Notamacropus eugenii: one gene and its partners. The protein of the gene in region 2 purifies or fractionates together with the protein of the main gene of each other region. This does not show direct contact. Links are inferred from orthologs where the notes say so. Each region holds a gene or a part of one and is shown on either strand. Other genes may lie near its edges. The genes, in order: RYBP, L3MBTL2, LIN54 and MAX.

Region 1 (7,430 bases), about 150 Mb from region 2:
CTTTCTTTATATCAGGAGTGCTTTAGCACAGCATCTGGTGAATTATAAATGCTTGTTAACTGGCTGATTGATCTTTATATATTTAAGGATTGCAAAACACATGGCATGTATTATCTCCTCTGAGACTCACAAGAGTCTTGTGAAGGAGATGATACAAATGTTATTAATGCCATCTCACAGCTGAGGAAACTGAGGTTCATGCCTAGTACATTGCACACTGGAACCCAGGTCTCTCCTGATTCCATGTTCAGTGTTCCTTCTGGTGTGATGAAATTTGTACTTCTGAAACTCTCTATGATCATCCCATCAGTTACAGCAGGATGATGGAGGGAACACACAGTGGAAATCACAGATCCTTGAGGTATTGAAGTCTAGGTCTGCTGACTGTTTGCACAGTTTATATAGTAGCTCACCTCAAAAAAGCTGCTAAATGTCAAAGTCAGAGAGTAGCTGAAGTAGCACCAAGAATTCAGCCGAAATTTCCTCCAGTTAATTTGCTCATCTGAATCATCTCAAGATATCCCTAAGTGAAATGAGCCCAAGTCTCCCCCGTTACTTAGTTGCTCTGAGACATAGTTCCCCTTTTTAAGCCCCCAGAGAACTATTTGGTACAAAATAAATATTGTCTTACAAACTAGAATTGAATTCTTAACTTTTTCACATCCATTCTATCACTGAGACCCTAACCACACCAGAGCATTTCAGAATGTTCTCTTATTTAGGATTGATCAGTTTCCCAGCACAAATGCCCAGACCCCTCATCCCAAAATTATTTAAACTTTTATAATGCATCTATATCTTTACATCTAAAATATTAATTCCAATTAGTGTAAAAATCCTTGAACAGGGCCCTGTTTATTTTTTAAATGTCATTTTCTTGTCAATGGCTGATATCATTTTTAACGTGGGTGGGGTATGGGGCCAGTCTGTGGTGTTCAGGTTAAGATTCTCAAGCTTTTACCTGTTGGTAATACCTTTGTTAGTTAATCCAAGGTTTAAAGTCCAAGACCCAGGATATTCAGAATTTTATTCCTTTGTAGAGGAGTGTTTTCAAATGTAAAGTTGAGAAGCAGTTTTTGCAATGTGATAGTTGGTCTTCTAGTTCTTTCCTCTGTCTCCCTTGCTCCTGCTTAGGCAGGGCTGTTCCTGGGCAGAACTTGGAGGGCTTGGGCTCCTGGCATATTGCTCAAGCTGCCTGGACCATCTTTCCTTTCCGTTTTTTTTTTTTTTAAGGGTGTTTTTCCTTTGTCTTGCCTTTGGTGTGAGCTATGTTCTACACAACAATGGTTGCAAGTTGTCCCTTTGGAGTAGAATTTGGTGAACTCTATCCCCCTTCCTAAACTTGAGCTCAATAAATAAAAGGGGTCACTCAATAGATCACTCACTCTCCCTGGCTCATTTTAGGGTTCCTAAGACCGGACAAGCCTCCAAAGCTATAGCGATCTGCTCCCAAACGAAACAGGTGCCTATTACCATGACAGCAAGCACCTCCCCCAGCCCAGTGAAACTAAAAACTAAAAACTACACCATCATTTTATATTCTAGCCTATAGGTTTGGATTTAATTCAACAGACTTTTACTGAACTCCTACTATGTGTAAGCCACAGTACTAGGTCATAGTGATAGAAAGACAAGGAAAAAAAAACCAAGACTGACAAGGTATTTGTGTACCAAAAGTTTCTCAAGGCTAAGTTTAACTAGTATCTACCATTGAAATAAAGGTAAATAAATTATCCATCAACAAGGCCAAGTGCAGCAACGAGTTAACTACTGACCAGGGACTTAAAAAAAAGTCTACCATTACTGAGACACTATAGTTAAAATGAGGTAGTTCTTGTGTGGTGTGGGGACTCTCTGTGAAAACTTCAGGACAATAACATCTTTCCAGGACTGTTCTGGACACAAAATGTTCACAGCACCACTCCCCACCCCCTCCTCCCCACCTTCTATCTGTTTTCCCCTCCTCCTCCTAATCCCTTTGTCCCTCTCTCACTTTTTTTTCTTCTTCTTTGGCATCCTTGGGCAGGAAGGGTCACAACCCTGGTCGTTCTCTGAACTAAAGAGGTTGCTGACCCTTGCTCTAAACAGGGACGGTATTTCTCCGGCTGGGTGCAGGGTGTGCCTAGTTAGAGTACATCATGTGCTGAATAAGCTTATCTTTGACACACTCCCTCCCGCCTCCTTTTATTTCTTCCTTTACCAGCCCCCCTACTTCCTCCTCCCCTACAGCTCCTGCTTCAGATGGATGGATGGGAAGGCTTCCCTCTTGTCCTGATTGGGTTCTCCTTCTACTGAATACCAATTATAATAATAACACCCTGTGCATAAAGGGTCTAATCTCTAAGGAACTCCAGAGGGCACCCAGCAGGCCCGTCCTGGCTTCCCAGTCTTCCAAATCTTTACTTTTCTGGAAGAAAAGTATTGCCTAAAGAAATGCATCACTTAATCTCTTGGCTCCCCTGGAGGAAGGGTATTACCAGGAAGGTAAAGGGTAGTTATATTTCTTTAACACAATTATAATTCTATTTATAATGGATTCTAAACTCCCCCCCCCCCCCCATTAAGGTAGTAGCATCCTTACTTAAATTCAAGGGGATTGGGACAAGCACGGTTTACGTATTAGTGGGTTACAGCATAGGACCTAGAGTGGGAGGGGACTGCCAGATGCCAATCTAATTGTACAGGGCAAGCTTTATGTACGTGATCTTATGCGAACCCCACAATCACCCTGGGTATTATTATCTCCATTTTACAGTCCGGAGGTTGTGCTCAAGGTCACCCAGCTGCACTGGGATTCAAACTCAGGGCCTTGGCCTCCAGATCCTGCGTTCCTTCCATGGCACCCCCATATCAGAGGCAGAACCTGGATCCGAATCTTCCCGACCCCACGGATTCCAGCCAGAAATTTCCCCCTGCCCCTTTACAAAATGATTTGGCTCCAACTGCCCTTAAGGAGAAGCTTTCCCAGAAAACATAAAAGCATCGAAGGGGCGCAGCACAGCACCAGACGGACCCCTGCCCATCGCCCACCCACCAGGATGGTGCAGAAAGTGCCCGGGGAGGGCAGAGCGGGGGATTCCACCAGGCTGAAGTTAGGGGAAGGGAGCGCTGGAGGCCGGCGTGTCTGCCCCGCTCCCCTCCAAACGAGGGCACCCTCGTCCGCCCGGCTGGGCGCAGCCTCGCCTCCCTCCTGCCCGCGGGCGTGCATCCCCTCCGGCCCCGCGGCGGCCGCCGGCCAGGGTGGCCAGCCCGGGCCGCTCCTCCGCCAGGTGCGGGGCCAGGGGCGCACACGCACGGCCCGGCGGGCATGCCCTGCGCTCTGGGGGCAGCGCGGCGTCCACACCCGGGTGGGGGTCCGACCCAGCGTCCCAGGGCCCCCACGCGTGTGCGTGCTCGGACTCGGCGGGGGGTCCCTGACAGCCCACGCCTCAGGAGCCATGCCATGCCGACTCCTTTCTCTCCCTCCCTCCGTCCGTCCTCTCCCCAAGTCTGGCGGAGTCTCGGCTTGCTCCTGCCGGGGCGCTCGAAGCCCCGGCTACGTCCTCTTCCCCACCGCGTCCCCTTGGGCGCCCTGGCTTACACGAGAGTAGGAGGGGGGCCTGGGGTGCACGCGGGGCCGGGAATGCTGAGCTGGGGGGGCGGGGGACACACGCAGACGTCCCCTACACAGATGTACACACAGCTCTGCGTCCGGAGACGCACAGACACGTGCACGGACACATGCACAGACAAACAGACACACACACACACACACACACACACACACACACACACACACACACGGCACCGCAGGAGGGCCAGGCGCCGGTGCAAGCGCACACAACACACACACACACAGCACAGAGGCGGGCTGAACCCTAAGAAACACACACGCACACGCATGCACACACAAGCAAAGGGGCCTGGGCATGCATGCAGACATGCATGCATGCACGCACGCACCCACGAGCCCCCCCCACCACCGCGCACACGTCCGCAGCTCTCTCCCCCCGCCCGCTTCTCCCCCTTCCCTCCGCTCCCCCTCCCCCTCCGTTCGGAGCCTCCCCCTCCCCTCGTCGGAGGAGCCGCGCGCCGCCATTGGTCCGCCGGGCTGGTGACGCGCGGCGCTCGACCCCGCCCCCAGTCAGTCACTCGGCGGAGGCGGCGCTGGCGGGGACTAGTCTCGTCCGGAGACTGGCAGCGGCGGCGGCGGCAGCAGCAGCGGCAGCGGCAGCGGCAGCGGCAGCAGTAGCAGCGGCGGCGGCCGGAGCTCGAGCCCGGGCGGCTTCGGGGGGGGGAGGCGAGGAGGACGGCGGCGGCGAGGACGGCGCAGGCGGCGGTGGCCGCGGCGGAGACGCGGCGGCGGGCGGCGTTTCGTTTCTCCTCAGCGCGGCCCCTGTTGTGCGGAGGGGGGGGCGGGGGGAGAGCCCATCCATGACCATGGGCGACAAGAAGAGCCCGACCAGGTACCTGCTCCCGCCGCTCGGGGCCGGGGCCGGGGGGAGGGGCGGGGGCGCGAGCCGCAGCGGGAGGAGGAGGCGCCCACGACTAGGCCCCGCCGCCGAGCCCGGGCCGTGGCGGCGGCGGCGCGCGCGGTGGGGGGGGCCCGGAGGAGGAGGCGCCGCTAAGATGGACGTCGGCCCGGGGCGGGCGGCGGGAGGCGGTGTCTGCCGGCCTGCCTGCCCGCCCGCCCGCTTGCCTGCGGGGCCGAGCGCCGCCTCCTCCTCGGCCGCAGCCATGGCGGCTCCTCTTCCCCGACCCTCCCAGACAAAGGGAACGGCTTCCCCAGGTGGGGAGGGAGCGAGGCCCGAGGAGGACGCCCGGGAGGGGGTCCCCGCCCTTGTCGGGCCTGGGCCACGCGCCACGAGTGGGCCGGGGAGGAACTTCGGGGGGGGGGCCGCTCCCGTGAATTGGGATTTCTCACCCGCGCGTGTGTTTGTTGTTCTCCCCACCCCTCCCCCTCCCCCCACTCCGCGAAGGCCAAAAAGACAAGCGAAACCTGCGGCCGACGAGGGATTTTGGGATTGTAGCGTGTGCACCTTCAGGAACAGCGCGGAAGCCTTTAAATGCAGCATCTGTGACGTGAGGAAAGGCACCTCCACCAGGTACCCCGCGGCCCCCCGCCCCCGACACACGCACACACACAACGCACACGCACACGCACGCACTTGTTGATCGGTCGTGCCTTTTACCTGTGCCTGACTCATGTTGCTGTCGAGAGCGTGGGGCGCACGCTCGGAGAGTCTGCTTTTTTCGGTTTCCTGTGAACAGAATTTGGACCAATATTGTCATAATTCAGAGTTTCCAATTCTTTTTTTTTTTTATCCCATTTCATAAATTGAGAACCAGCGCAGGGGCCTGAGCCCTTGACTTCACAGACGGAAGCACTTCTTTTCTCCTACACGTCTGTGGGGAGTGAAACGGAATTTTCTTTTTGTCACGGGCGGAACGGTTGGGTGTGTGCCAAGCCCAGGGAGGCTTTACGGGAGGATCCCCGAGCACCCCGCTTGTCGTCCCGTAAAAGCCGCAGCACTTGGAAGGGCTGCGGCCGGAGAGGCAGCTGAATTGGGGCTCTTTAAAGGCTCGGCGTCGGGGCTTGTAAATTGCAACATGGTGAAACTGATCAGGCTGTAAATACTGTCGTGCTGGCTTTGTGCCAGGAGTAGCAGCTCGGAAAGTTCTTGGTGGTGGCATACCCAGTCCTGAACGGTGCCGACCCGGGCTCTGGCGAGCTGGGCTCTCCTAGGTGCAGGTTTTGTGTGTGTGAGAGAAAATTGGGAGAAACTCCTGTGGTTGCTTCGGAGTTTTTTGTTTCCTTCCCTGTTGTCTTTGAACAGAATTTGGTGCAGTGTTATCATAATTTGGAGTTTGAGTTCAAACTGTTGTGGTCCTCATTTGATGCCCAGATGTTTGTGTATATTCTGGGTTGGTACTTGGAGTGGATTGCCAAAAAGTGGGTCGTTTTACCAGGTGTCTGTTTTGTTTGGGTGGTAGTCCAGTGTGACTGTAGTATTTCAAATGCATAGCATTCGGTAACTTGCATGGCTTCATGATTAAAGACTCTTCTTTATGTAGTGCCTGTAATGTTGTGCTTTGATTTTTATACTTGAGGTTAAACATAAGTAGTTGGGCATACTTTTAAGCTTATAACTTAAGACTTAGTTTAGATTTAAGTAGTATACTTGAATAAATAAATCACCTTGAAAAAAGAAAGAAAAGTGGACCACTGAAATTGGTTATTTTAAGAGCTGATTTTCCCTAGTTTTTGGTGGTGTTCATCATAACTTTAGGAATATATTATTCTAGATTGAATTTGCTTTGAGGCGGAGGAATATTTTTTTTCAGTTTCTTAAATGTAGATTTCTGTCAAATGCCATTAAATTTTGTACGTTATTATTATAAGCAATAGCATGTGGATTATTTCTTTACATGTAAAAACCTTTATTGTGGTTTTACTTTGAGGGTTACTGTAAATGATGGGTGTAGTACAACGCAATGACTGGGAAACTCTTGAACTTTTTAAAAAATAGATTATTATTGTATTGAAACTTAAACCAATTAGTTTACATCTGATTTATTGGTGAATGAAAATATCTCGTAATCAAGCACATTTTATTGTATTTTATGTTTGGATAAAATTTGAATGTCAGCTTTTTATCCCCCAAAGTCACAAATCATGACAGTACAAATTCTGGTTATCTGTATTTTTTGCCAACCTTGTGTGTACTTAAAATGCTTGTTGAATTGAGTAATTTAATGCTCGGTCTGTTCAGACAGTAAATCTTTAAGGGATCATAATGAAGAATTTGAGTTTTGTAGTGTGAACTTTAGAATAATGTCAAATGTTTAGTAGCATTTGTGTCTACACAAATTTAATTTGATAGCATACTATATAGTGTTGGTATTTTTATATAATTTCAATAATAAACCATTTGAGTTAATCCGAAGTCTCTTTCAAGTCATGGCATTATTATGTGATTTGTGATGTAACTACCCTGGTTCTAGTCAGGCTTATTGCCTGCCCACCCAGTGGTGGTGTTTTCAGGTCAGAATTATTCCTTGTTTTTGAGGTTAGAGCTACTCTAGAAATTATAGTTAATTGGAATGCAGATAGTATTTTGATAGTATTGTAAAGGCTATGTGGAAGGGGCACGTTTTACTGGATTTCAGTCACCAAGTGCAGCGTTTTAATGCTTGCTTATTTTCTTGGTGATGGTGGTGGTGGTTGTGTTTGTTCCTTTTCTACCTTCTTTCCTTGTTATTTTTAGGGACTTAGGATGATGTACGAGCACCACAGTTGGTAGTTGATGTACTATTTTCCTTGTTTGTTGCTGTTGCCTGAATGGTTGAAAAAGAAATGTGTAGAGCACTCCATTTAAAATCCTCATAATGTCTATTGGTTTTGTTAGTTACGTAGGTTTTATAGAAATTGGTTGAATTTTATTCTGCAT
Region 2 (7,974 bases):
CTCCAGGTTATTCTAGGTCATTTTTCCTGACTAGTTCAGGCTGGTTTCAGACCTGGATATTCTTATAAAAATTTCTGTGACTTTCTGAAGGCCAGTCTGTCTGCTGATTGGTTGAGTCCACCTGTAGTCTGCTAACTTTCTTATTATCTGGCTTATTCTCAGTGACTTCATCAGCTAATAACTTCTGTGGAAACTTAATTTTTTGCATCTCATATTTTCAATTAAAACAGTGAAGAAAAGGGGATGCAGAAGACCCAAGTGTGTTTTCAAAGGGTTCAATCTTAGCCTCAACAAAGAGAAGACTCAGGGAATTTCCTCTCAGCATCGCCTGGAGTTATGCCATCAACAAAAGAACCGAACAGCCATGGCTCCTGTCATGAGTGTCCCAGATCATGTTATACGACCAGGCTCCCTTTCACCCACCTATTTCCCAGACCAGGATGATAACAGATGTAGTAGCCGTGTGCCTCTCTGTTTGGGTAATAATAACAATAGCTAACGTTTATACAGTGCTTGCACAGCTAGGTGGTGCACTAGGTAGAGTGCTGAACCTGGAGGCAGGAAGACCTGAGTTCACATCCCACCTCAGACACTTACTAGCTGTGTGACCCTACGCAAGTCACTTTCCTCATCTGTAAAATGAAATAGAGAAGGAAATGGCAACCCGAAAGGGGTCACAAAGAGTAAGACATGACTGGAAAAAAAAGGCTAAAAATATACTGTTTACTATGTACTAGGCATTGTGCTAAGTCCTCTACAAATATTATCTTCCTTGATCCTCCTCACAACAACCATGGGAGGTAGGTGCTATCATTATCCCCCTTCTACAGATGAGGAACCTGAGACAGACAGAAGTGAAGTGACTTACCCAGGGTTACATAGCTAGGGAGTATCTAAGGCTGGATTTGAGCTCAGGTCTTTCTATCTCCATGCTCTGAGTCTAGCTGTTGTGCTCCAGATCAGAGTTAAGAAGCTGTGCAAAGTTGCAAAATTGTTTTTCTTCACAAATAGTTGTAGTCCTTTTATCAGCTAGTTCTGCCCATCATGCTGCATCAGTTCATACCATCCAGGATTCTCTGAAACTGTCTCTTTGTTCATTTCTTATGGTGTAACACTATTCTATTACATTCACAAACAGCAGTTCTTTTCGCCATTCCCCAATTGTCTAAGAGGCAATATGATACACCCCTGTAGAGTCTATTTTTTTCTCCTTTGTTTTCCACCTGCAGGATGAGAATATTTATTTGGTTTATGATGTTTCCCTCTTCAACATCATTCTCTCTCTTAATCTCCACCACTTTTTTTCCTCCTCCAGTTGAGATGGTTGGTGTTGAGCCTGTGTGTGTTTTCCATCCTCCTTTTTTTATTTTGGGTAAGAGTGAGGTTCATTAAACACCCACTTCCCCACCCATTCCTCTATGTTTGTATGTCTTCTCAACCCCCACAATTAAATGAAATAATAATTTCTCCCTTTTTCCTCCTTTTAGACACTAGTACAGTCCTCTTTTTACTCTCTCTCTTTTGGCAGTTAGTCCAGTTTGACTGAAACAGTGTGTTGAGGGGACCATGCCACAGTCTGAAGGTATTAGTGGAGTCAGAGGGGCAAGGCTCAATGACTTTGAACAAATTATTTTCCTTCTTTTGAACCTCTGTAAAATGAAGAGAGTTGAAAAAAATATTTATTGTGCTAAATACTGAGGATACAAAGAGAAAATTGAGACAGTTCTTGTTCCTAAACATCTTTGATTCTAACTGGAGGTAGAAAGCACAGGATAGGAGGATTCTGATGCAGGACAGAAGGCAATCTTATTAGGGTGCTGCAGCAGGGTGGATGGTAAGGCCTAGTGGTCTTCTTCATAACTGGGAGAAGAGGATCTGACCATTCAAGGACCAAATTCGATGATCCTATACCATAACCTCACTCTACATATTTAGTCTTTTCTCACACTTTTCCACTCATTTTGTCTATGAGCAGTCAGTCTGGACTATGAGATATACTGAAAATATTGTGCTTTTCTGCCTCTAGGCCTTTGGTCAAGCTAATTTTTGTGCCTAGACAGATCTTCTTCTCCTTGTTCCATTTTTGAATTCCTTTTGAATTCATCTAATTCAGATACTCAGAACTGTAAAGCAACCTGGCATGTTGAATAGGGCATTGCATTTTGAGTCAGGAAGACCTGGGTTCGAATTCCACCTTTGATACTTACTAAATGTATAATCTTGGGCAAGTGATTTAATCATTCTGGGTTTCAGTTTCCTTACCTTTAAAAAGATGTTGGAATCCATGGTTTCTATTGTCCCTTCCAACTTTAAATCTATAATGTTATGATCTACCCTTTATGGCACCCAGAACAGGGCAGGCAGCACAGGATTTACCTGGTTGCTTCTGTGTCTAGCCCAGAGGAGCTTGCCTGGAGAACAAATAGATCATTATGTATTTTCATTATTTTCATTTTCATTATCTATTTTCATTATCTATTATCATTATTTTCAAGTCAGTTCAACAAGTATATATTGAGTGCCACCGTGTACCACAGACTGTGCTAAATGCTAGGTATACAAAGAAAGATAAAAGACAGTCCCTGCCCTAAGGGAGTTCACAGTCTGTTGGGAAAGACCACATGCAAACAACTATGAATGAGCAAACAAGTTACAGATTGGATAACTTGAAGATAATCAACAGAGGGAAGGCACTAGCAATAAAGGGGGATGTGGAAAGACTTCTTGTAAAAGATGGGATTTTAGCTGAGGCCTGAAAGAAGCCAAGGAAGCCAGGTGGCAGAGATGAGGAGATAGAACATTCCAGGCATGGGGGAATAGCCAAAGAAAATACCCAGAGTCTGGAGATGCAGGTTCATGTGCAAGGAACTGCCAGGAGGCCAGTGTCATCAGATTAATGAGTGTGTATCAGGGGACCATTGGAAGGGTAGGACAGAGCTAGGTTACGAAGGGTATTGATTTTGTATTTGAGCCTGGAGGCAATAGGGAGCCAATGGAGTTTATTGAGTAGGGGATGACATGATCAGACTTGGGCTTTCGGAAAAAATACTTCAGTGGTTAAATTGAGAATGGATCGGAGTGGGGAGAGATTTGAGGCAGACAGACCCATCAGCAGCTACTACAATAGTCTAAGCATAAGATGATGAGCATCTGCATGAGGGTGGCGGCAGGGTCAGAGGAGAGAAGGGGGCATAATTCTGCAGAGGTAAAATCATCAAGACATGCTGCAGCGATGAAATCAACAAGAGGTGCTGCAGAGGTGAAATCAACAAGAGAAGCTGCAGAGGTGAAATCAACAAGAGATGCTGCAGAGGTGAAATCAACAAGAGGTGCTGCAGAGGTGAAATCAACAAGAGAAGCTGCAGAGGTGAAATCAACAAGAGATGCTGCAGAGGTGAAATCAACAAGAGAAGCTGCAGAGGTGAAATCAACAAGAGAAGCTATAGAGATGAAATCCACAGCCCTTGGAGACAACTTGGATATAGGAGGATGAGAAAATCCAGGATGATTTGGAGATTGGGAGGCTGAGGGAGAATGGTGATGCACTCGGCAATAATAGGGAAGTTAGGTAGATTATGAGAGGCAACAGGCTCAATGGGCAGAGAATAATCCTGGGAGTCAGAAAGACCTGAGTTCAAACCCTGTTTCTGTCTCACATAACCCATATATGACACTAGACAAATCTATTCACCTTATTGCCCCAGACAGCTCCGAACCACTATAAATTACAGAGAAGGTAAAGATCTGCATTGGTGGAGGGAGTTTCTTCATTGGAAGGTGAGTGAGAAGAGGAGCGAGGCCAATGGAGCAGAGGCAGCTATATTCTACATGCAAAACCACAAAAGAGCTCCTTTTCTTGGTGGTGGTGGGGGTGGGGGTGGGGATCACTGTCAGTAATCTATACACTATCCAAATGGTAGAGTGCAAACAATACTGAACTTGGAATCGGTGCGACTTGGCTCTGAACCTCTTCTCTGTATTTATTAGCTTCATTATTTTGGACAAGTCTCTTCCTCATCCTGTGCCTCACTTTCTTCCTCTGTAAAATGAGGGGGGGTTGCACTGGATGGTGTCTCAGGTCCCTTCCAGCTGTAATTTATAATTCTTTAATTTATAGGTCATCTATAATCTGTAATTCTATGAATTGATCTTGAGTCAGAGCACATGGCTTTAAATCTTGGCTCTGATTTTTCTAATAATGTTATCTTGGGTAAGTCCTTTCCCCTCCCTAGGCCTCAGTTTCTTCTTCTGCATAATGAGGAGGCTGGTCTAGACTGGCTGCTGAGATCCCTTTCAGCTCTATCTCTAGAATCCATCACTTTCCTGGACCTCCATTTCAGCTTCTGTATAATGAGGGTCGCTGGCCTAGACAGACTCTGAGATCCCTTCCAGTTGACGCCCTAGGATCCCTTCAGCTCCCTGAACCTCAGTTTCCCCCTCTGCATAATGAGGGGCTGTCCTACACCGCCTCCGAGATCTCTTTCAATCCAAAGACTGAAGGCTTTATCAGCCTATGTCCTCTCAGCTCCGTCCCGCCCCCTTCTCACTCCCGGGACTACACTCCCCACAAGGCTTAGCGGGCCTATCTAAGCACGCGCCAGGATGTGGGCGGCCCTTCCTGCTGCTCTCGGCGGCGACTGGCCTGGCGCCGCGGGACGGCTACCAATGGGCTTCGTGCGGGCGGAAGGCGCGGCGGCCATGGCGGCGGCGGGCTCGCGGTGAGGGCTTCGGCTTGGGTTCGGGCTTCGGGCTTCGAGCCTCGCGGCCTAGGCGGCCTCATGGAGCGGGGCCTCGAGGTGAGCGTGCTCTGGTCGGGGCCCGGCCCGGAGAGCCCAAGCGCCCCCTGGGGCCGGGCCGGGGTCCCCTGCGCAGGGCGGAGGAGTAGACGGGGAAGGGGAAGCTTTGTCCCTTTAACGGTGGGTAAACTGAGGCACGCGCAGTCGCAGAGGCGGGGGACCGAACACGTGCTTGCTCCCGCCGCAGAGGCGCCCGCGACCCTTAGCCGCGGTGACCTCGCAGGCCTTTTACAGAGAGGGAAACTGAGGCCCGGAGAGGCCTGGCCCGGCGTCCGGGGCCCTCGAGGGAGGCTGGCGCGCCCAGGCCTAGGGGGGCCTGACTCTTCCTTAGCAGAGGGAGCTCCCAGGGGAGCGCACTCCCTCCGCCTCCCCCACCCGCGGCCGTGGGCTTCCCCGGGGGGCCCCGGTGGGGGAGGGGGCGGGTCAGCCTGGGGGAGCCCCCCCCATACTTAGCGAAGCCCCCCGGGGCCCCCAGCTTTGGGCAGAGGCCGAGACCCAGCCAAGGTCACCCAGTCAGAGCTGGGCCTCGGATGGGCTTTCCCGGTAACCGGGCTTGGCATGCAGTAAGTGCTTAATGAATGCTGCTTGGCCCGCCCCGCCCCGCCCCCCGGGTGCCTCTTTTTGTTCCTGTCCTGGATACTAAGACCAGAGCTTCGCCGACTCCCATCGCTCCGGGCACTGGGCCGGGCTAACATCCGTCCGTTGGCCCCACGGGGTGGCGTTATTTGTATTTATTGTGCTTGTCATCATTTGTTTGACCCCACGTGGAGGGAGGGAGGGAGGCAGTCAGTGTTAAGCACCTGCTGTGTGCCCCACGCAGAAGTCAGAGGCCCTTCCCAGCCTGCCGTCCCTTGGCGGCTCTTGTCATCTCTGCAGATGTTACTGCAATGACCCTCTCTAAGAACTGGAGGGGATTGGGGGCTTCTTGGTAGTCACCTAGAAGGCTTTCCAGGTACAGTTTTAGATTCCTGCACCAGGGGTATCCTGGTTTAATTCACCCTTTTGTGCCTTAAAAAATAGATTTGCCCGAGTCACCCTCCAGCAGCGTCCTTGGTGGGTGGAAAAGAAATAAGGGTGAGCAGAACCCCCAGACATGGCAAGGCCCACAGTGGAAGTCAGGAGTAGGCTCCCAGCTTTGGTGGGGGGGTCTTTAGGGTCACTCCCTCTTCCCTTGGGCCCCTCCCTCTGTCTGCTCCTGAGCCTCTGGGCAGGCCCACTGCTCTGCACCAGTTCCTATGAGTCTTTTCCAGGTTTTCTCTGCATTTGTCGTCTATGTCATTTTCCATGTCACTCTGCATGTCCAGGCCACCTTTGGTTCCGCCACACCCCTCTTGGGCCCGCCGTGCTTTCCTGAAGAGCTGGGACTGTTTTATTATAGGAGGCACCTCTGTTTCTGTGGTCAACCTCTCACTAGTGGGAGGCCTGAGGTGGGAGTTGCAGCTTTGGTCAAATCATTTAAATCTGTCTTCCCGAACAGCTCCACCAAGACTGTATTGGGGTCCCCCGCCGACAGGGACCGGTCTCTTCCTTTGTCATCTTTGCCCATTTTATGACTCACATGTCCAATAAGAGTTACTTGAATTGGCTTTTCTCTTATGATTAGTGATTTTGGGCTTTGGGGAAGGCATCCATGTCCTTTCCCCTCCTCTCTTATTGCCCTACCCCAACTGTGGAAAGGCCCAGTTGGTCACCCCCTCACACCTGGTTTTGAGTAAGCTCAGTTTTAGACAGTGTATGAGGAAGTGTGCCCAGAGACAGACAGACAGACAGACTGACAGACATACCCACCTCTTCCTAATCCCTTGGTTCCCTTTATCATTTCTTAGACCTCTGTCACTTAGCACAGCTAAGTGTGTAGTTCTTGTGTTTGTCCTTCTTGAAGAGGATCATGACGTAACTCCTGCAGCAGACCTTGATTTGAGTGAGAGGGCTGTCCAGTTATTCTGATGAGTGTCAGGCCACTAGATCCAGATGGCTCAGGAGATGAAAGTGCACAGCCCTCCCTCACTCAAATCAAAGTCAGCTATAGTGTATTGAGTGGTAGGGACTCAGTAAATACTGGGTAACTTCACTTGTTGACTCAGCTGTTGAGTTGGGGGTGGGGAAGAAGGGGTATTAATGGTTGTGTGTGTGTTTTCACATCACCCTCCTTTCTGAAAATGTCCCCTTTCTCTCCTGCTTCCAACGTGAGCTCTCCCTTGTCAGAAAGAGTCACCTTTTTCATTGTCCATATGGGACAGTATTTCTGGGACCTTTGAGGGGGTCATTGGCGGGGAACCAGAGACCCAGTGCAGAGGCCAACCTGGGGACCTTCTCTAAGCCTCCTCCTTCCCTGCCACACCCAGGTGCTCAGCAAGCATTTATTAAGCACCTGCTCTGTGCCAGGTGGGCCCTATGTGCCAGTCCTCATGCCCAACCTGTGGAATTCCGAGGAAGACAAAAGGCAGGCCTGTCCTCAAGGAGCCCACGGTAGAACAGCAGTCTGCCGTCCTCACTTTCTGTTACTTTCCCACCAGGAGACACCCTCCTCTGAGAGAATGGAAGATGAAGAAGAGGAAGATGAGGAGGAGGAGGAGGAAGAAGAGGAGGAATTGGACCTCTTTGGGGACTACGACACCTTCCAGGGCTACACCAGCAGCCTGGGCAGCGAGAGCAGCTCCTACCTGGAAGAGTCCAGTGACAACGAGAATGAGCTGAATGACCGAGAAGCCGGGGAGCTCCCCACATCTCCTCTGCTGATGCCCAGCCCCATCACCCCTCGCTCCCAAGATGGCAGCGGTTCTGAGCCAGGTGCTTTCCAGGGCCCCTGAGGTCATGGGCCAGGCCTGTGGAAATATCCCAGCCTGGTACTCCCTGGACAAGTGGTCTCTGCTCTCAACTCCCTGTGACAGGACGCACTTAGTGCACCCTGAGGGGCTGCAGAGGAGGTTGAGCTGGGCTGAACTGGAATCTCTTACTATTCGTGATTTTGAGCTTTTTTATTATGGTGATTGATCTGTCTAGTCCAGAAGCCTCCGGCTCCTGCTAAAACCGGACTTCAGGCCTTATTCCTTGGGTTGTGCCCTGGGTGAGAGAGTCAGTGTAAAATTTGAACCTGGGTTCAAATTTGAGCTCCACCACTTTGCAAGATATTGAGCAGTCCAAGGGCCTGGGTTCCCATCCTGGCCTTTTCCACTGG
Region 3 (7,926 bases), on a different chromosome or scaffold from region 2:
GAGAGATTGTTTGTGGACAAGAGTCAAATAACATAAGGCTGATAAAAATGGGTTACAATCTGCAATATTGGGAAGTCACTGAAGTCACAGCTACAGGAACACATTCGTTTCGACCAGGTATAATTACTGACTAAATGGACCGCTCTGGAGCCGCAGTAAACGAATTTCAGGAAAGAGAGAGCAATAGAGTAGGCTCTTGGGGACCACTACAGTTTTTCAGAAGTCCACTCAAAGGGGCAAAGTGGGGCACCCTTGTAAAGGGCCCCTGGACAGTTACCTGGAGAACCCGGACTGGTACGGCTCCTCTAGACAAGGCCAGCCTGGATCGCTGACCTGCCAAGACCCAACAGACCTCGGGGCAGCTGCTCCTCCGGCTACACGGGGGAGGCGGCCCGGGGTCTGCGCACCAGACGCGTCCGTCGCCCCAGCGCACGACCAATGTCACCTCCTCAAACCCCCGGTCCGAGGAGCCCGGTCACCCCGCCTCCCACCCCCCGCCGCGCACTTGACGTCCCGCTCCCGGGCCAACAACAACGACAACAACCACAACCCCCCCTCGCCCCCGGCACCACACACGCGGCTGACCGCGGGGTTCCGGCCCCGCGGCTGCTCCGGCACCCGGGCCGCACGACTCGGAAGCCGGGCCCCCAGCCCTTCTGCCCGCCCGGCCCGGGGCCTCCAGCCCGGTCCCTTCCGCTCCGCTCCCCTCCCCCTCCTGCCCGCCCAGCAGCGGCGGCGCATCGCCCTCACCTCCGGGCGGCTCAGGGCGGGGGCTCTCCGGTGTCCCAGGCCGGCAGCTCGCGGCGCAGCCGGGCTCCTCCTCCGCTGTCGCCGCTGCCGCCGCCGCCGCCGGGATGTCAGGGGCCGGGATTGGATTTCGAAAGATCCGCCATTTTCACGTCGTCATCAGAAGCGCGGCGGCGCGGCGGCACGGCGGGCGCGGGCCCGCGGCGGCTCTGCGGCGCCCCTCCCCCGCCCGGGACACGCCCCCGCGCCGCGCCAACCTTCAAACGCGCCGCGGGCCGAGCCCTCGAGCGCCGGCCGGCAGCCGCGGGCTGGGGTAGGAAGCCGCGCGAGGCCGGGAGGGATTCCCCCGACCCAAACTTCAAGTTTCCAAGGGGAAAGGCCAGCGGGAGCTGTGCGCGTTTCTCCATGACCACCTCAGCTCGCTAACACCTTCAGGGCATACATTCCCCCTTCCCCCGGCTGGAAAGGACCAGCTCCTGGGGTAGCCTAGAGAGGGCGGGACCTTGGCCAAGGCGGGTTCAGACAGACGGGGTCACCAAAATCCCATCTTTAAAATGCATACTTTCTACACGTTCCAGACGATCAGTCCCCAGTCCACTTCCTTTGACTTACTCCTTCCTGCCCATAAAACAGACCTGCTGTTCAACCTTCCGGGTCGCTTTCGGACCTCAAGAAATGTAAACCTAATCGCCATCTGATCCAAAAGCTATTAACATTGTTGATTTAAAAAAGGGAAATCTACCCTGAGCTGAAATTGACAATCATTTCCATAGTATCAAATTCTAACTTAAAATACACATTTGCCACCGATACAGTAACATACACAAAACCTCCGGATTATGTCAGTTTCCCTAATTAGCCTCTCTTACTAAATGCAGTCCGAAGATCGACTCAAATACAAAGAAGCGTTCTTTTTTTCAACCTCTAGCTGCAAACCAGTCAACAGGCACCGATAAAAGTGCCTACTACGAGCCAGGCATTTTGCTAACGGCAGGGAACCCAAAGGGAAAAAACAATCCTTACCTTCAAGGAACTCCCAGTCTCACTAAGGAGACAACATGAAAACTATGTTCAACCAAAATCTACAGGGGAAAAGTGGGAGATAATCAACAACCAAAGAGAAAATTATGTTGAATTACAACATTCAGTAGAAATGTTTGGATCGCTAGTGCCTGGCATATGGCAGGTGCTTCACATATAAAGTATGTAAGTGCATATAGACATAGACATGCATGAGCATATATAGCCATGAATATGTGTGTATACATATACACGTCAGATTGCTAAGCCTTTGGCACAGGGCCTGGCACATAGTAAACATTACAAATGTTAGCTGTATCTACATACATACATATGTCTATGTGTGTGTTTGTATAAACTGTAAAGCGCTTAGCACAGTGCCTGGCACGTAGTAGGCCCTATGTTAGCTATTTTATGCGTATGTATATAAATTGTAAGATACCTAACACAATGCTGGCTACATAGTAGGCCCTGTTAGCTATTTTCTGTCTGTGTATATATGAATAAGTATACATACACACATATATGTACATGTGTCTGTGCATTAGCTGTAAAGCACTTAGCATAGTGCCTGGCACACAGTAGGCCCTATGTTAACTGTTTTATATATGGTGTATACACATACACCCATATATACGTATGTTTGTTAGCCATTATGTGTATATAAAAATAACAACTGTAAAGCGCTTAGCACGGTGCCTGGCACATAGTATAAGCTGCATGTCCCCAGCGCGGTGGCTGGCACACAGCACACTGTGCTGTGTTATAAAATAACAAGCACTGTTATTTTATCTGTGTATATATGCATACATACATACATACACACACAAACACCCACAGGTGACCGTGTCCGTGTCCAAGCTGTACAGCGCTCAGCACAGTGCCTCCCCCACAGTAAGCGCCACACCAAGGTGAACTTTACTATCAATTTTATTACTTATGGTATGAGCAGGTCTGCCATTCCCCCACCCTCCCGAAGTTCCGGCGGGGTTAGGGGGAAGGGAAGGGTTTGGGCGGGGCAGGGAGGGGCTGCCCCCAGCTGTCACTCCCTTTTTTCTGACACCAGCCGGGCAGGATTGGCACGCTCGCGGGCTTGGGGCGCGGGGCAGCTCTCTGCTTTGGGGGGAGACCCCCCAGCAGGGAAGGAGCGTTTCTTTCCCCAAACTTTACTCGGAGGCGAAGGGGAGGTCCCGGCGGAGGGAGGGGAGCCATGGCACACAAAGGGGCAGGAGCGCAGGGCGGGCTGCAGGGCCCCCTCCCCCGCGCGGGCGCCGCGCCGCTGCCCGTCGCTGCCCGTCGCTGCCCGGCCCCGCCCGGCCCGGCCCGGCACACCGCGCAGCCGCGCTGGCGCCGGCCCTCCACTGACAGCTCACCCCCCCCTTCCGCGCGCCAACAACCCCCCCATCCCCGGCAGTCGCGGGGTCTCCCCCTCCTCCGTCCCCCCTCCCTCGCCGCCTCCCCCCCCCCCCGTCCCGGGGGCTGACACTCACCCCCCCACCACAGCCGGCGGCGCCGCCGCCTCCTCCTCGCCCCGCGTTCCCTCCGCTCCCGGCAGCCGCGGCGGCGGCGGCGGCGGCGCCTGTGAAACACAGACCCAGGTTTGTTCAAAATCACGCGCCCAGCGCCATTCCACCGCCGCATCCCATAATAGGCTGAGCCCTCCCCCCACCGCTCCCCCTCCCTCCCTCGTCGCCGTTTCCCTCCCCTGGCAACCCGGCCGTAGAGTCGTCAATACGCTGGGCGTAGGTCACCACGTGACTAGGAGCGTGCGCTCGAGCTTTGGGATGGAATGTTCCATAGGAGTGAGAGAGGAGGGGGAAGATCGCAGTTGGAAGAGACCATTCCTGCTCCCCCCCACACACTCCCTTTTAAGGAAGTCTTCCGCGGCTGTGGTCCTTCCCCCGCCCAACCACCGTGCAATTGACCGAGGAGAGTGTGGGACTGATGGCTAACAGTAAGAACAGCTTCGTAGCGTTATGTTCTGGTCGCTAAACTGATTGGACGGGAGGAGAAAAGAATCCACCTGCCCGAAAGCCCCGAGGCACCTGGGGTCTCCGATGAGGCCCGCCGCGGGCTCGCCGACCCGATCTGCCCCCGCTCATCGTATTAACAATAATAGCTCCTGCACAGCCTCCCTCCCTCCAAACAAAGTCCAGTGCAAGTCACGTCATCATTTCTCTGATGTCCTGGTCTTCTCTGAAAACGAAGGACGAACCCAACCGCAGCAACAATAACAGCGCTTTAAAGTTTGTAAGGGGCTTTACGTAGACGCTTGTGTATCCCTTGGTCCTCCCAGCAACCCATTTTATCAGCAGAGGAAACTGAGACCGAGAACCCTTAAATGACTGGCCCAGGACCACACAGCGAGTGAGTGTCTGAGGCAGCTCAAACCCAGGTCTGGCGCCAGGAACACGGCCCCCATGTGGCTGCCTCCGTTTTACACTTCAGGAAACTGAGGTATAGAGAAGTTAACTGATCTGCCCAAGATCATATCGGTGACAGTTATTTTTAGGGAATTTCTTTGTCTCCAATATATATGCTTTTCATTTTTACATATAGCTAGGTTCTGAAGAGTGTGAATAACGGATCCCTAGAAGGCTTCTTATTATTTCGAGTTTGCGCTGCATATTTCCCTAGTGCTGGAACCAATTAATATCCATTTCACACTTCCAAATAGTGTGAATTTGAATAAATTTTCATTCATTTAATAAGTACCTATTATGTGCCAGGCTAAGGACTGGGGATACAAAAACGAAAACATGACTACCCTTTCATATATATATATATATGTATATACACACACATATATAAAACAAACTATATATAATTTCCAGTGAGGAGGGTGAAAACTACTGGGCGGGGAGGGGTTCAGCGTAGGTCTTGAGAACAAACTGGGGCTTGGGTTAAACTTTGAAAGAAGGAACGGATTCTAAGGGCTGGAGGTGAAGAGGGAATGCATTCCAGGTAAGGGACTGACAGTGTTTTAGGACTGTAAATATGTCAGCTATGGGGAAGATAGATTGAAAAGGGGAAAGACTGGAGGTGGGGAAAAAAGGTATAGATCTGTGATAGAAGATAGTTTTAACCTAGTCTAATAAATGGAGAAATGAATTCACAGCAGAGATTAATTATTCAATCCACTGACATTTGTTACTGAATACCTTGTACCACACTAGGCACTGAACAGACTGCAGAAGAAATATAAAACATGATGTTCACCTTAAAGCAGCGTATTATCTACTTTGAGAAGACGAGATATGCTCACATGAATAACAAAACAAAACGGTATAAAATATATTGTGTTGCATTATATTGTATTATTGTATATTACATCATGCTAGTGTAATAAAAACAGAAAAGCAGTTGTATTTTCTTTATACATAGAATGTTGCTGTTATGCAGCGTTTTGCTGATATGACCCTCAAGTAGGGAATGACTTTTGTTCATATTGTTATTGAGTTGTTTCCATAGTGTCTGATCCTCCATGACCCCACTTTGGTATCTTTGCCATTTCCTTCTTCAGCTCATTTTACAGATGAGGAAACTAAAGCAAACAGGGTGGAGTCAAGTGATTTGTCTAAGATCACACAGCTAGTAAGTGTCAGAGACTGGATTTGAACTCCGACCCTTCTGATTCCAGGGCCAGCGTTCTATCTACTTTGCCAACTAGCATCAATTACATAACTGATCAAAGTATACGGAAAAACAATTCTCAAAAGAAGAACCGCAAACTACAAATGACCATATGAAAGAATATTCCAAATGATTAACAATAAGAAAAAAGGAAAACAAGCCTGAGGTCTCAGTTTACCATCTATAAGATGACAAAGATGACAAAAGATGGGAACAGTTAACAGAGGAGGCGTTTAGGGAAGATAGGGTCTTTAAGGTATTGTTGGTGAAGTCTGTGATTCAGTACAACCATTTTGGAAAGCAATTTGGAATCATGTAATTTGGAATTATGTTCATTGTCTTTGACCCAGAGATTCTACTATTAGGCATATAGCACAAGGCAAGGAGGTCATTTATAAGAAGAAAGATTCTGTATCCACCAAAGTATTTATTGGCAGCATTTTTTTAGGGTACTTTTCTAAATTGGAAGCTAAGTCAATGCCCATCAACCGGGAAAAGGCTGAACAAGTTGAACAAAGAACAATCATTGCTTCTCAAAAGGTTTATAAGAAGATGCTCACAGCCACTCCTTGGCAAGAGGTGGAAAAATTATTTCTCAAAAACCATATATTAACAAAATATAAAAGGAGAATTAGTGACTAGAGTATGAAATTCTCAAAAACTGAAAACCAACAAAAATATATTGAAAATTAGAGAAACTGATAAAATGGAAATCAGAGAATAGAAGTGATGAAATTAAAAGCAGATATTCCACATATCATCAGTCTTTTTCAATGTATTGATCAATTTTGTTGATTTTTTTCTCTTTAAAAATATTTGGTTTATGAAATGGCTCTCTAGAAAAGGGAGGAGAAAGAACGCTAGGAAAAATGTCGCTGATACTTCAGTAAAAATTTCTTTTATAAAAGCAGTATTAAAGCATATGTTACAGATTGTCAGTGTCATAGGTACTCTGAGGAGAGATAAGTAAGAAATGGAGTGAGGATTCAGAAAAGGTTTCATGGGGAGATGACAAACTAAGTTTGGAAGGCTGGATCAAGAGCCTCCGGCCAACTTTGCCACCATTCTGCACCTGCCATCTCATGTAGAATTAACTTCCCTCAGGCCTCTTCACTCTGGAGTACCCCTAACAAGAATGGAAGGAAGGAAAGAAGGGAGGGAGGGAGGAAAGAAGAAAAGGGGAGAAAAAGAAGGAAAGAAGAAAGAGAAGGAAAGGAAGGAAGGAAGAGCAAAAGAAAGAAAACCCTTGACCTTACAACAGAAATCTAATCACATCAGCGCCAGGTGAATTTAGGAGGGAGCTCCACACCATTTCTTCACCAGGCAACTACTTGAAAACTCTCTTCTCCTCATTAATAAAGGAGATTGTCCGATGTGCTTAGGTATTACAATGGGACCAAAAATGCCCTGAAGCCCAGAATTTCTTGAATGACGGAGGGTGAGCCTTACAGGATGACTTAGAGGCTGCTGGCACTCGGCTGGAGTTAGGAAGACCTCGAGTACAGATTTGGCTTCAGACATTTACTGGACAAGTCATTTAACCTCTCTTTGCCTCAGTTTACTCAAGTGCAAAATGATGATCATGATAGCACCTACCTCATAGGGTTGTTATGAAGATAAAATGAGATATTAATTACAAAAGTGCCTAGCAATAGTTGGTTGGTTGTTGTCCTTTGTTTTCAAGGAGAACCAAGATGACATCTCCGTGGAGTCAAGTTTCCATGTGTCTGACTGTGGCTGATCAGGCTAATATGAGCTCAGAATGCTCTGCCACAGGCCGAGCACAGATAGTCCGTGTGAACATTTGGGATGGATTCTCTAAATTTGCGCATCCTACATTTCCTTTGTGCTGCCTCAGTTCTGCTTTGCTCATAGAGCACAGCACCCTTTCTCATGCGGGCATGCCATGCTGGGCGGTCCTGTGCCAGTGTCTCCCATTCACACTATCAATTCCAAAGTTCTTACGAGAGACCTTGAGAGTGTCCTCCTATTGCTTCTTCTGACCACCACGTGAATGCTTGTCCTGTGTGAGTTCTCCATAAAATATGCTTTCTGGCAAGCATATGTTTTGCATTCAAACCACGTGGCCAGCCCTTCAGAATTGTGCTCTCTGAAGCATAGTTTGAGTGCATGGAAGTTTAGCTCGAGTAAGGACCTCAGTGTCTGGTACCTTATCCTGCCACAGAATCTTCCTAAGACAATTCAAATTCAAACTAGCACTAGTGTATACTATATAAATCCTTAATTTTTTGTTTTTGTTGCTGTTTTGGAGTCAATTGGGGTCTAAGCGACTTGCCCAGGGTCACACAGCTAGTAAGTGTATAAGGTCAGATTTGAACTCCCATCCTCCTGACTGTAGGTCAGTGCTCTAACCACTGCACCACCTCGCTGCCCTGCTATAGAAATCCTTATTCCCTTCTGTTCCCTCCTATTCCTTTTTGTCCCCTTCCTATCTTACTTCTCAATATTGGCCAGACAATTTAAACAAAGAATCAGGAATCCCTTCAACCCCTACTGCCATGGAGT
Region 4 (7,691 bases), on a different chromosome or scaffold from region 2:
CTCCCAGAGAATTATTAAATTCAGTTTCACTTTCTCTTACAGTTAGTTTTATTTCCTACTTCATGTCAGTTTCTAAGGTCTCATGAAACAGGATTTTCACACCTGTAAAACTTAATATTCTCTAAGTAACTTTTAAAACTCTCACAATATGATCAAATTTTTTCCTGTTATTCCAGCTTGATTTTCCTTCAAAAGTCAAGGCCTAAAAATGGTTGCTTTATAATGGGAATTTCTTTCAGCTTAACAAAAAATGCCCAGGCCTTGAGTTTTGGAACACATGATAGGAAGGGGAATTCTTATTCCTCTACCAGGTCCTAATAGTTGTTTGTGATACTGAAAAACATGCTTGTAATACTGTTGTGATTACCTTGTGCAAGATGTCTGAAAGTCTCTGCAAGCCAAATTAAAAAGAAGCCAAAAAAAAAAAAAAATCAAAGGGATAAACTCTAGATATCTTAACACTTAACCAAAGATTAGATGTTAAGGTGCAGAGAAGTACATTTTAATCATTTCATGTCCATTTAAAATCAACACATCAATGATTTTAAAATGAAAAAGGGCTTGAAAAAGCAACTTTCTCTCAACAAAGAAAACTGTTTTTTTGCTGAAAGCCCATGACTAGTTGTTCTAAGTAAGAGTCTGGAAAAGACGTTCTTCAAGGGCTCTTTTGCCCTTCTTACCATCCTTCATTTGGGGGCCATTTTCAAATCGCATCAAGGGAATTCAGGAGAAAAGTGAAATATTTTTTAAAATTTTGCTTAAAAAAGTACAATGTTAAAGTGGATATACTGTTAAGAAGATTTACAACAAAAAATCCAAAATAAGGAATCTTTCAGTCCACTAAAATGAATTTTTGTTGTAACAAATGACAATCAGAAACAGTTTTTAGGTCTAATAAAATAATTACATCCTGAGATTTCTCTTAATATTGTTTAAATTCTTCTGAAGCCCCAGATCTCTGGAAAAGATTCTGAATCCCGGTTTGTTCTGTTAAATCAAGTCTTAACTCAGCAAGTTTCTCTTTTTAAAATAATTATTATTCCTTACTGCTTCCAAATGCAAACTATCAGGGACTCTGTTGTGCTTCATTTCCCTTTCCCACTCTAATCTCCTTTTCTCTTGTGCCCCACAAAAAGTCTCTTCTCCCCACCCCCTTCAAATTCACTGAACACTTCCAGGTTTCTATCAATTTAAACTACATATCTACATCCACGGAAGCAAGTATCAAATACATTAATACAGAAAACCAAAGAAATGATCTAACACATTTTCTTCTGTCTTGGCATGCCTTTCTTCCACACCAACTACAAAGCTTTTCCTCTTTAGTTTCAAAACCTACTTCAACCCATGGGTCTAGAGCAGTGACATTCTGCTACTGTTCCGGTATGTGCAACTTGTGGCTTCAATTTCTGCATTACATTCTGATGTAATACTGCTAAGCCCTTTAAAGAATACAGTATTCATATGGCTCTTCATTTCTGATAATCACATGTGCCTCCAAAGTAACAATGGTTTAAAAGCTATTTGTCTCCAAATATTCTCTAGGCTGCTTTGCCTTCAAATACTGACAACAACTGAATTCAGAGCTTCTTCCATTTCCTGAATCCAAACAGTGGTTCTACAGATCCCTTGGATTTGATCCCTCAAGAATGAGATCCTTTCCTATGGACAAAGCTCCTCCCACTCACTCAGCCTCAATGGAACCTAACACCTGACAATCTAGAATGATGAAGTTTGCAACCCTTCTCCCCATCTAGAACCCCCGACGTAGGTCCCCACCTCACCTCCAGCATTTCACAGTGCAGTTTACCATCATAACATTGAAAGTAACAGAACTCTCTCTGACCCCGAAAAGGATTAGAACTGAACGGAAATGAAAATGAAATGGAGAGAAGGAGACGTACCGCAGATTGAAACCTCGGTTGCTCTTCCTGGAATAAGAGAGAGAAAAATAGAAAATATAGAAGTTATTTTTACGCTTCACATTCAAAAATAAGAAAGAAAATGCCGGCGGTGAAGGAAGCAGGGGATGGGGAGTGAGCCCGACCCTCCTCCCTTCCCCCCAGCCGGGGATCCCGTGCTGGGCTGGGGGTGGGGGGCGTGTGTCTTGTGCGCCGCCCTTTCTTCCGGGATCCAGCCCAGCCAAAGGGGATGCGCTGGGGGGAAGGGGTCCTGAATGCCCCCGTTCGTCAGCCCATGCCAAGGGCCTTCTGGGCACCCTAACTCCCCCCCTCCCCCAATAGATAAAGGAAGAGGGATCTTGAACGGGTGGGGGGGGGTCGGAGGAAGGGGCCTGAGCACAGTCCCCGTTCCCTGGATCTGGACAATGGGCTGCGGAGTGTACCCCCATCCCGGCACCGGGCGGGGGGATCAGGGAGGGGGGTAGACTGGCCCTGGTGAGGCTGCCCCCCCCGCGGGGGTGAGATGAGGGAAGAGTTGGGGGGAAGGGAGGATTCCCCAAGGCCACTCCTCCCCATCCGGACTCCAGAGGCCGTGGTGGCCGGGCGAGTGAGGAAAGTGCCCGGACCGAGACGGCGACGGCGGACCCGTCTACGGAGGGGAAGGGCGAGGAGGAAGCGGCCCGGCCTCTGCACGCCGCACCCCCGTCCGGTTCCGTCTCTGGCCTCTGGCCCCGACCCCCAAACAGACACACACGGGAAGGAAGAAACCCCGGGACTCACGTCGCTCTCCACCTCGATGTCATCGTTATCGCTCATTTCCTACGGCCCAGGGAGCGGCCACTGCAGCGGCGGCTGGGAAAGGGGGAGGGGTGGAGGGGAGGGGGAAGTCAGGGACAACAACAAGCCGGGCCGTACACGCTGGCTCGCTCGCTCACTCACTCCCTCACTCACTCCCTCACTCACACACACATTCACACACACATTCACACACACACACATACACACACACACTCACACACAACAAGGCTAGAACCACCTCCTCACTGCAGCACCGGATCAACGGCGGCACGCACGCCCGGCCCACCCCGCCCACGTGACCGGTCTCCGCCGCGCAAGGGCCGCTGAGACTTGGAGTCCACCCCTCTTCAGCCGCCCAAGGACCGAAGGTCCAGGAAGAACTACAAATCCCGTTAGGCACGATCAACACTCAGAGCCTCTCCGGCTTGTTGATGAGAACAAGAGCGCCTGCGTGTCCCGCGGAGGAGGGAGGGAGAAAGGGGAGTGTGAAGCCTTCTGGGAATTGTAGTACTCGGCGTGGTGGGGGTGTGGAGCGAGTTGTCAGGAGGTTTTTCTCCCAGGGCAGCCGTAGAGGCTGCTGGGTAAGGAGAGGACACGTGGAGGCTGCTGGAGCTCCGGGAGTGGAGTGGGGTGTCTGGGCACGCACGCTTTGCTGGGCAGTAGGCCTGCGGGAGAGGGTGGGGAAACCTCTCACGCACGCAGCGCGGCGCAAGGGCGTCCTAATTATCTCACATCTCTGTGGTTTTATAATTGGCCTTCTCCCCTGACTCACCGGCCACGTGTTGCAGTCATCTAGGTGTCACCCTGGGTTGGGGCTGCAGGGAGGAACTCTACGGAAGGGAGAACCCGGCTAGCCATAGCCTGTTTGTCCCTAGGATTTAGAGCCTGGGCAGAGGCGTTAACCATTGTAGGTGAGAACTGCAGCCCGGAAGTGGGAGCCTTCTGTCTCAGACCCAGAATCGCTGGTCCTGGGAGCCTGAGGCTGTGTGCGTCTTTACTGTTTCCGGTGTGTCCCAGGAGGTCCCAGAATGTTACAGTCTCCGTGAAATCCGTCCAGTTTTAAAATACACTGAAAGGAAATGACCACCTTTTAATTTTTAGGACACCTAAAGGGAGGAAAGCGGCAAATAAAGCTTGGCCCAAGGTGAGAAGTGGAAACTGATACTGGGTCATTTGGAAAGACCCTGATGCCAAGGCCTTTCTTGAACTCCCTCTCTCCCCCAACCCAGTATTTTATACACGCTTTATATTGCTTAAGTACCTGTTGTATCTCTCCAGTAGTGTGTAAACTCCTTGAGTTCAGGGAAGGACTGTTTAATTTTTGTCTTAGCATCCCCAGCAGCCCCTAGAACCTAATAGGTGTCTTTCAGGGGTCAGAATTGGAACCCTGAATAGGGTTAAATAATAATTTAAATTTAAATAATTTAAATTTTAAAAATTAAATTACTAAATTAATACATTTTACTTATAAAATTATTTGTAAAGTGAGAAAGTAGCTTGAAGGACCATGGTGTAGTGGCAGGAGTCGAGCTATGGAGTCCAATGATGTGGTTTTGAAAATTACTTTCAAACCTTACCTGTATGATTCCTTAAATGAAAAATGGAGGGATTGAACTAAGTAACATCTGAAGTCTCTTCCACCTCTGAATATATATAGTACCGTGATCTGCCATCTTTTCATTCCAGAGGATTCATCTGAATCCAGAATCTGTGATTCCAAATTCAGTGCCTTTGCTGCTGTGACATGGCAATGTGTTTGATACATTTAATTTAACAAATACTTTATTAAATCTTGTGCATATTCATTCGTTTTTCAGTCATATCTGACTTCGTGACATCATTTGGGGTTTTCTTGACAAAGATACTGGATTGATTAGCCATTTCCTTCCCTAGCTCATTTTACAGATGAGGAGCTGAGGCAATCAGGGTTAAGTGACTTGCCCAGGGTCACACAGCTAATAAGCTAAGTGTCTGTGGCCAAATTTGAACTCAGGAAGATGTCTTCCTGACTCCAGGCGTGGCACTCTATCCACTGTGTCACCTTATTAAATATTAACATATACAAAAGCTAAACAGTCCTTCAGGCTCACATGGTTCTACCAAACTTTCCCCCAAATGGAGCTATTTTAATAATAATAGCTAACATTTACACTCTTATGATTAAATATGACCAGGAACGTTTATGTCTAAGCCAGAGTCACACAGCCATACACTAAGCCTCCTAGTAGCTTCCCAAATACATTAAATGCTTTAAAATATATGATTGATCTACCACTATCCATGGAGACAGCAACTTGACTCAGCACTTTCTCCCAAGTGATTGTTTTCTCCATTTTATAACTGACTTCTCAGTTTTTTTAAAGTGTCTAAATCTCACCTTTCTCCAAACTGTTCAACGGTATTTGATCTCATCATTAAATGAAAGGCTAGAAGAGCAAAGATCCCAAAGCATGAGATCATAAAATTATTTCAGGGATGGCAACCTAATTAATCAGAACTAGATATATTTTTAAGGTTTTTTTTTTTTTTTAACACTAGTAGTGTTAGAACCTTCTGTAATGAAATGACAGGTCCAGACCCTCCCCTGTAAAAACAAGTAAATCCTTCAACATTTATGGAAAGAGTGAATAGGAATATCAGTTCAGACTAACCTGGCTTTATCATCTGGTGTAACATGAACCTCCATCAAAGCCCCACTTGTGTGTTTCATTCTGGTGTGGAAGTGGCACTGGATTCTCAAAGTTATGCCAACCTAGTACAAGATCTAGAAGGTCTTGTCAAGTTGGAAATGTTTCAGCTACAGGATTGATTAAAGACATGATATACTTACTGTATAAAAAGCAGACTAGCTTGGAGCTTTGGAGAAGCTTGCAACCAAATGGTTGACCTAGTATTGATTTTTTTGGCCACAGGAACCTGCTAAATCACCTAAGTTATAGAGGAATTTGATCTTCAAAAGTAGGAGAAATAGTGAGATGGCTGAAATCACAAATCCCTGAAATTTTGAAGTAAGTAGACTGTGAATGGTGAGTGTTATCTATCAAATTGATAAGTAATATTTAAATAACACTTGAAAGTATGAAGAATGCATCTCCTACCTCATTTCATTTGATCCTTAGTCACAGAAGTAAATAATGCAAATAATTTCCTCCAATTTACAGAGGAGGAAACTAAATCTTAGGTAAAGTGACTTATCTGAAGTCTCACAACTAGTAAGTGTCAGAGGCAGAATTTGAGCCTACAGCTTCTCTGACTTCAAATCTTGCTCTCTGCTCCACTATACTGCCGGTTCATACTAGGCTCCCAGATTAAATAGATATTTTGTTGTGTACTTATGCTTCGTTATGGTTTTTTTTTTTTTTTTTGGACCAGCAAACCATTATTCATCAGGATAATATCTGTACTTTATAATTATATCTGCCTTTTGAACTAGACATTTCTACTCTAACATGCCCAAGTGATAAATCACTGATGTCATATTTAGTTTTATGATTGACAAGGGCTCCTTGTTTGTTTTAAACCTGTGGTGTTTCAAAGACCTCACTGACAAGTTATCCTCTCCTAGAAGGCCAAGGTGGGAATATAGAGATTATGTTGTCTCCTGAAGTACTCAGTTTCCTCCCAGTTAGAGCTTGCTTATATGACTTAAGGTTCACCTGGTTGATGTGGAATTAACATTCATGTGGTAGATGAGTAATATATCCTCCAGAAGCCCAAGAGGCTATTTCCTTAACACAGTGATACTATACCAGGGTGCTTGATAGTGGTGCAGATCTCTGCTAATGCTTTTCTGTGAAGACTGTTTTTTGGCATACGTGCCTGAGAATTTTTTGGTCAGTGTGGAGAGCATGAGAAAGCTTCAAGACCTAGTTTATTCTCAACCTCAGTTGGAGTCCTTAAAGTTACTTATTTGGCTCTTATGTTAAAAATAATTTGTTTTGTGACAAAAATACCAACAAAAGGTGTGAAATCAGTTCATTTAAACTGCTTTATTGATACCTTTATAATCTTTTATTAATAACTTTATAACAATCTTTTTTTACTCATCCCTCTAGATTAAACCCAACATTGCAAAACAACCCCCAAACAACCCAATTAAACAGAAACATTTGTGTTATCCCAATTGTTCCTCCACCTTTCTGCCATAATTAAGGAGGTTCTTCTTTGGGAAGTTTGTTAATTTTTTTTAATTGATGCTTTTTATCTTTACATGATAGTCACTTTCCTTCCTCTCCTCCAGATGGAACCCTACCTTTTTGATAAAGAAAAACAGGTAAAAACATCCAGTAAGAAAGTCGTGCCTGATAATAAATAAAATATCCTAATTTAATAGTCACCTTCCTCTCTGCTTTGAGGAAGGAGGTATGCAACATTGTCTTTTCTCCAACACCTTCATTTTTAATGAAAAATATTTATTATGAACTTATAAATCATCAATAAACATAAATATTTCAATATACAGAGAACAGAAAAGAGGATTGTATATGGAACTGGCTTCTGTTTTGTCCAGTTCATTTGAAGTATATGAAAATTTTAAATTAAAATTTTTTTTGTTATTCTATACTTGCCATACTCCAATTAACATAAGCATTTCCATATGCAAAGAAAAATAAATGAAGAAAATTGTGTGTAAAACCATAAATCTCCATTGCAAATAACAAATTCAGTGTGTTAATTTTAAAGCTGTTTTGCTAGTCTACACCTCCCTCTATGTATGATATTTTTTCCCATGTGTGAGACCCTTTTTTCATTTCTTGTTTTTGAGCATCATTATCAGTAGGCCTTCCCCCCCACACCCTGTCTGTCCTCCATTAAAAAAAAAAACAAAACTCAACACCCTGTCTCGTGGCAAACAAGCATAGTTCTCTATGCAAAGCAAATATACACATTGGTCAAAATGTTCTCATACGTGTATATCGTTCTGCATCTCTCCCCTTCATCAGCCCTTTGTTATGGATTGCATGCTTTATCATTAATCTTAGGGAGTCATGA

The links.
Region 1: the proteins of L3MBTL2 (region 2) and RYBP purify together in Homo sapiens (affinity purification with mass spectrometry; 5 studies listed by BioGRID and IntAct, counting the BioPlex papers as one, with this or other methods). This does not show direct contact. The link is inferred for Notamacropus eugenii from reciprocal best matches to the Homo sapiens genes L3MBTL2 and YAF2.
Region 3: the proteins of L3MBTL2 (region 2) and LIN54 purify together in Homo sapiens (affinity purification with mass spectrometry; 3 studies listed by BioGRID and IntAct, counting the BioPlex papers as one, with this or other methods). This does not show direct contact. The link is inferred for Notamacropus eugenii from reciprocal best matches to the Homo sapiens genes L3MBTL2 and LIN54.
Region 4: the proteins of L3MBTL2 (region 2) and MAX purify together in Homo sapiens (affinity purification with mass spectrometry; 6 studies listed by BioGRID and IntAct, with this or other methods). This does not show direct contact. The link is inferred for Notamacropus eugenii from reciprocal best matches to the Homo sapiens genes L3MBTL2 and MAX.

The regions. Positions count from the first base shown.
Region 1 is NC_092874.1:450,827,453-450,834,882, forward strand, and holds the start of RYBP (RING1 and YY1-binding protein), read left to right. Parts: upstream 1-4,198; 5' UTR 4,199-4,413; coding exon 4,414-4,445; intron 4,446-4,958; coding exon 4,959-5,084; intron 5,085-7,430. UniProt on the Homo sapiens protein: Binds to MYC and inhibits MYC-mediated transactivation. Also binds to MYCN and enhances MYCN-dependent transcriptional activation. Increases calpain 2-mediated proteolysis of YY1 in vitro.
Region 2 is NC_092874.1:300,262,655-300,270,628, forward strand, and holds the start of L3MBTL2 (lethal(3)malignant brain tumor-like protein 2), read left to right. Parts: upstream 1-4,611; 5' UTR 4,612-4,778; coding exon 4,779-4,796; intron 4,797-7,312; coding exon 7,313-7,586; intron 7,587-7,974. UniProt on the Homo sapiens protein: Putative Polycomb group (PcG) protein. PcG proteins maintain the transcriptionally repressive state of genes, probably via a modification of chromatin, rendering it heritably changed in its expressibility.
Region 3 is NC_092878.1:150,599,102-150,607,027, forward strand, and holds the start of LIN54 (protein lin-54 homolog), read right to left. Parts: upstream 3,426-7,926; 5' UTR 3,409-3,425; coding exon 3,258-3,408; intron 894-3,257; exon of another isoform or gene 751-893; intron 1-750. UniProt on the Homo sapiens protein: Component of the DREAM complex, a multiprotein complex that can both act as a transcription activator or repressor depending on the context. In G0 phase, the complex binds to more than 800 promoters and is required for repression of E2F target genes.
Region 4 is NC_092872.1:315,998,695-316,006,385, reverse strand, and holds the start of MAX (protein max), read right to left. Parts: upstream 3,128-7,691; 5' UTR 2,718-3,127; coding exon 2,682-2,717; intron 1,932-2,681; coding exon 1,905-1,931; intron 1-1,904. UniProt on the Homo sapiens protein: Transcription regulator. Forms a sequence-specific DNA-binding protein complex with MYC or MAD which recognizes the core sequence 5'-CAC[GA]TG-3'. The MYC:MAX complex is a transcriptional activator, whereas the MAD:MAX complex is a repressor.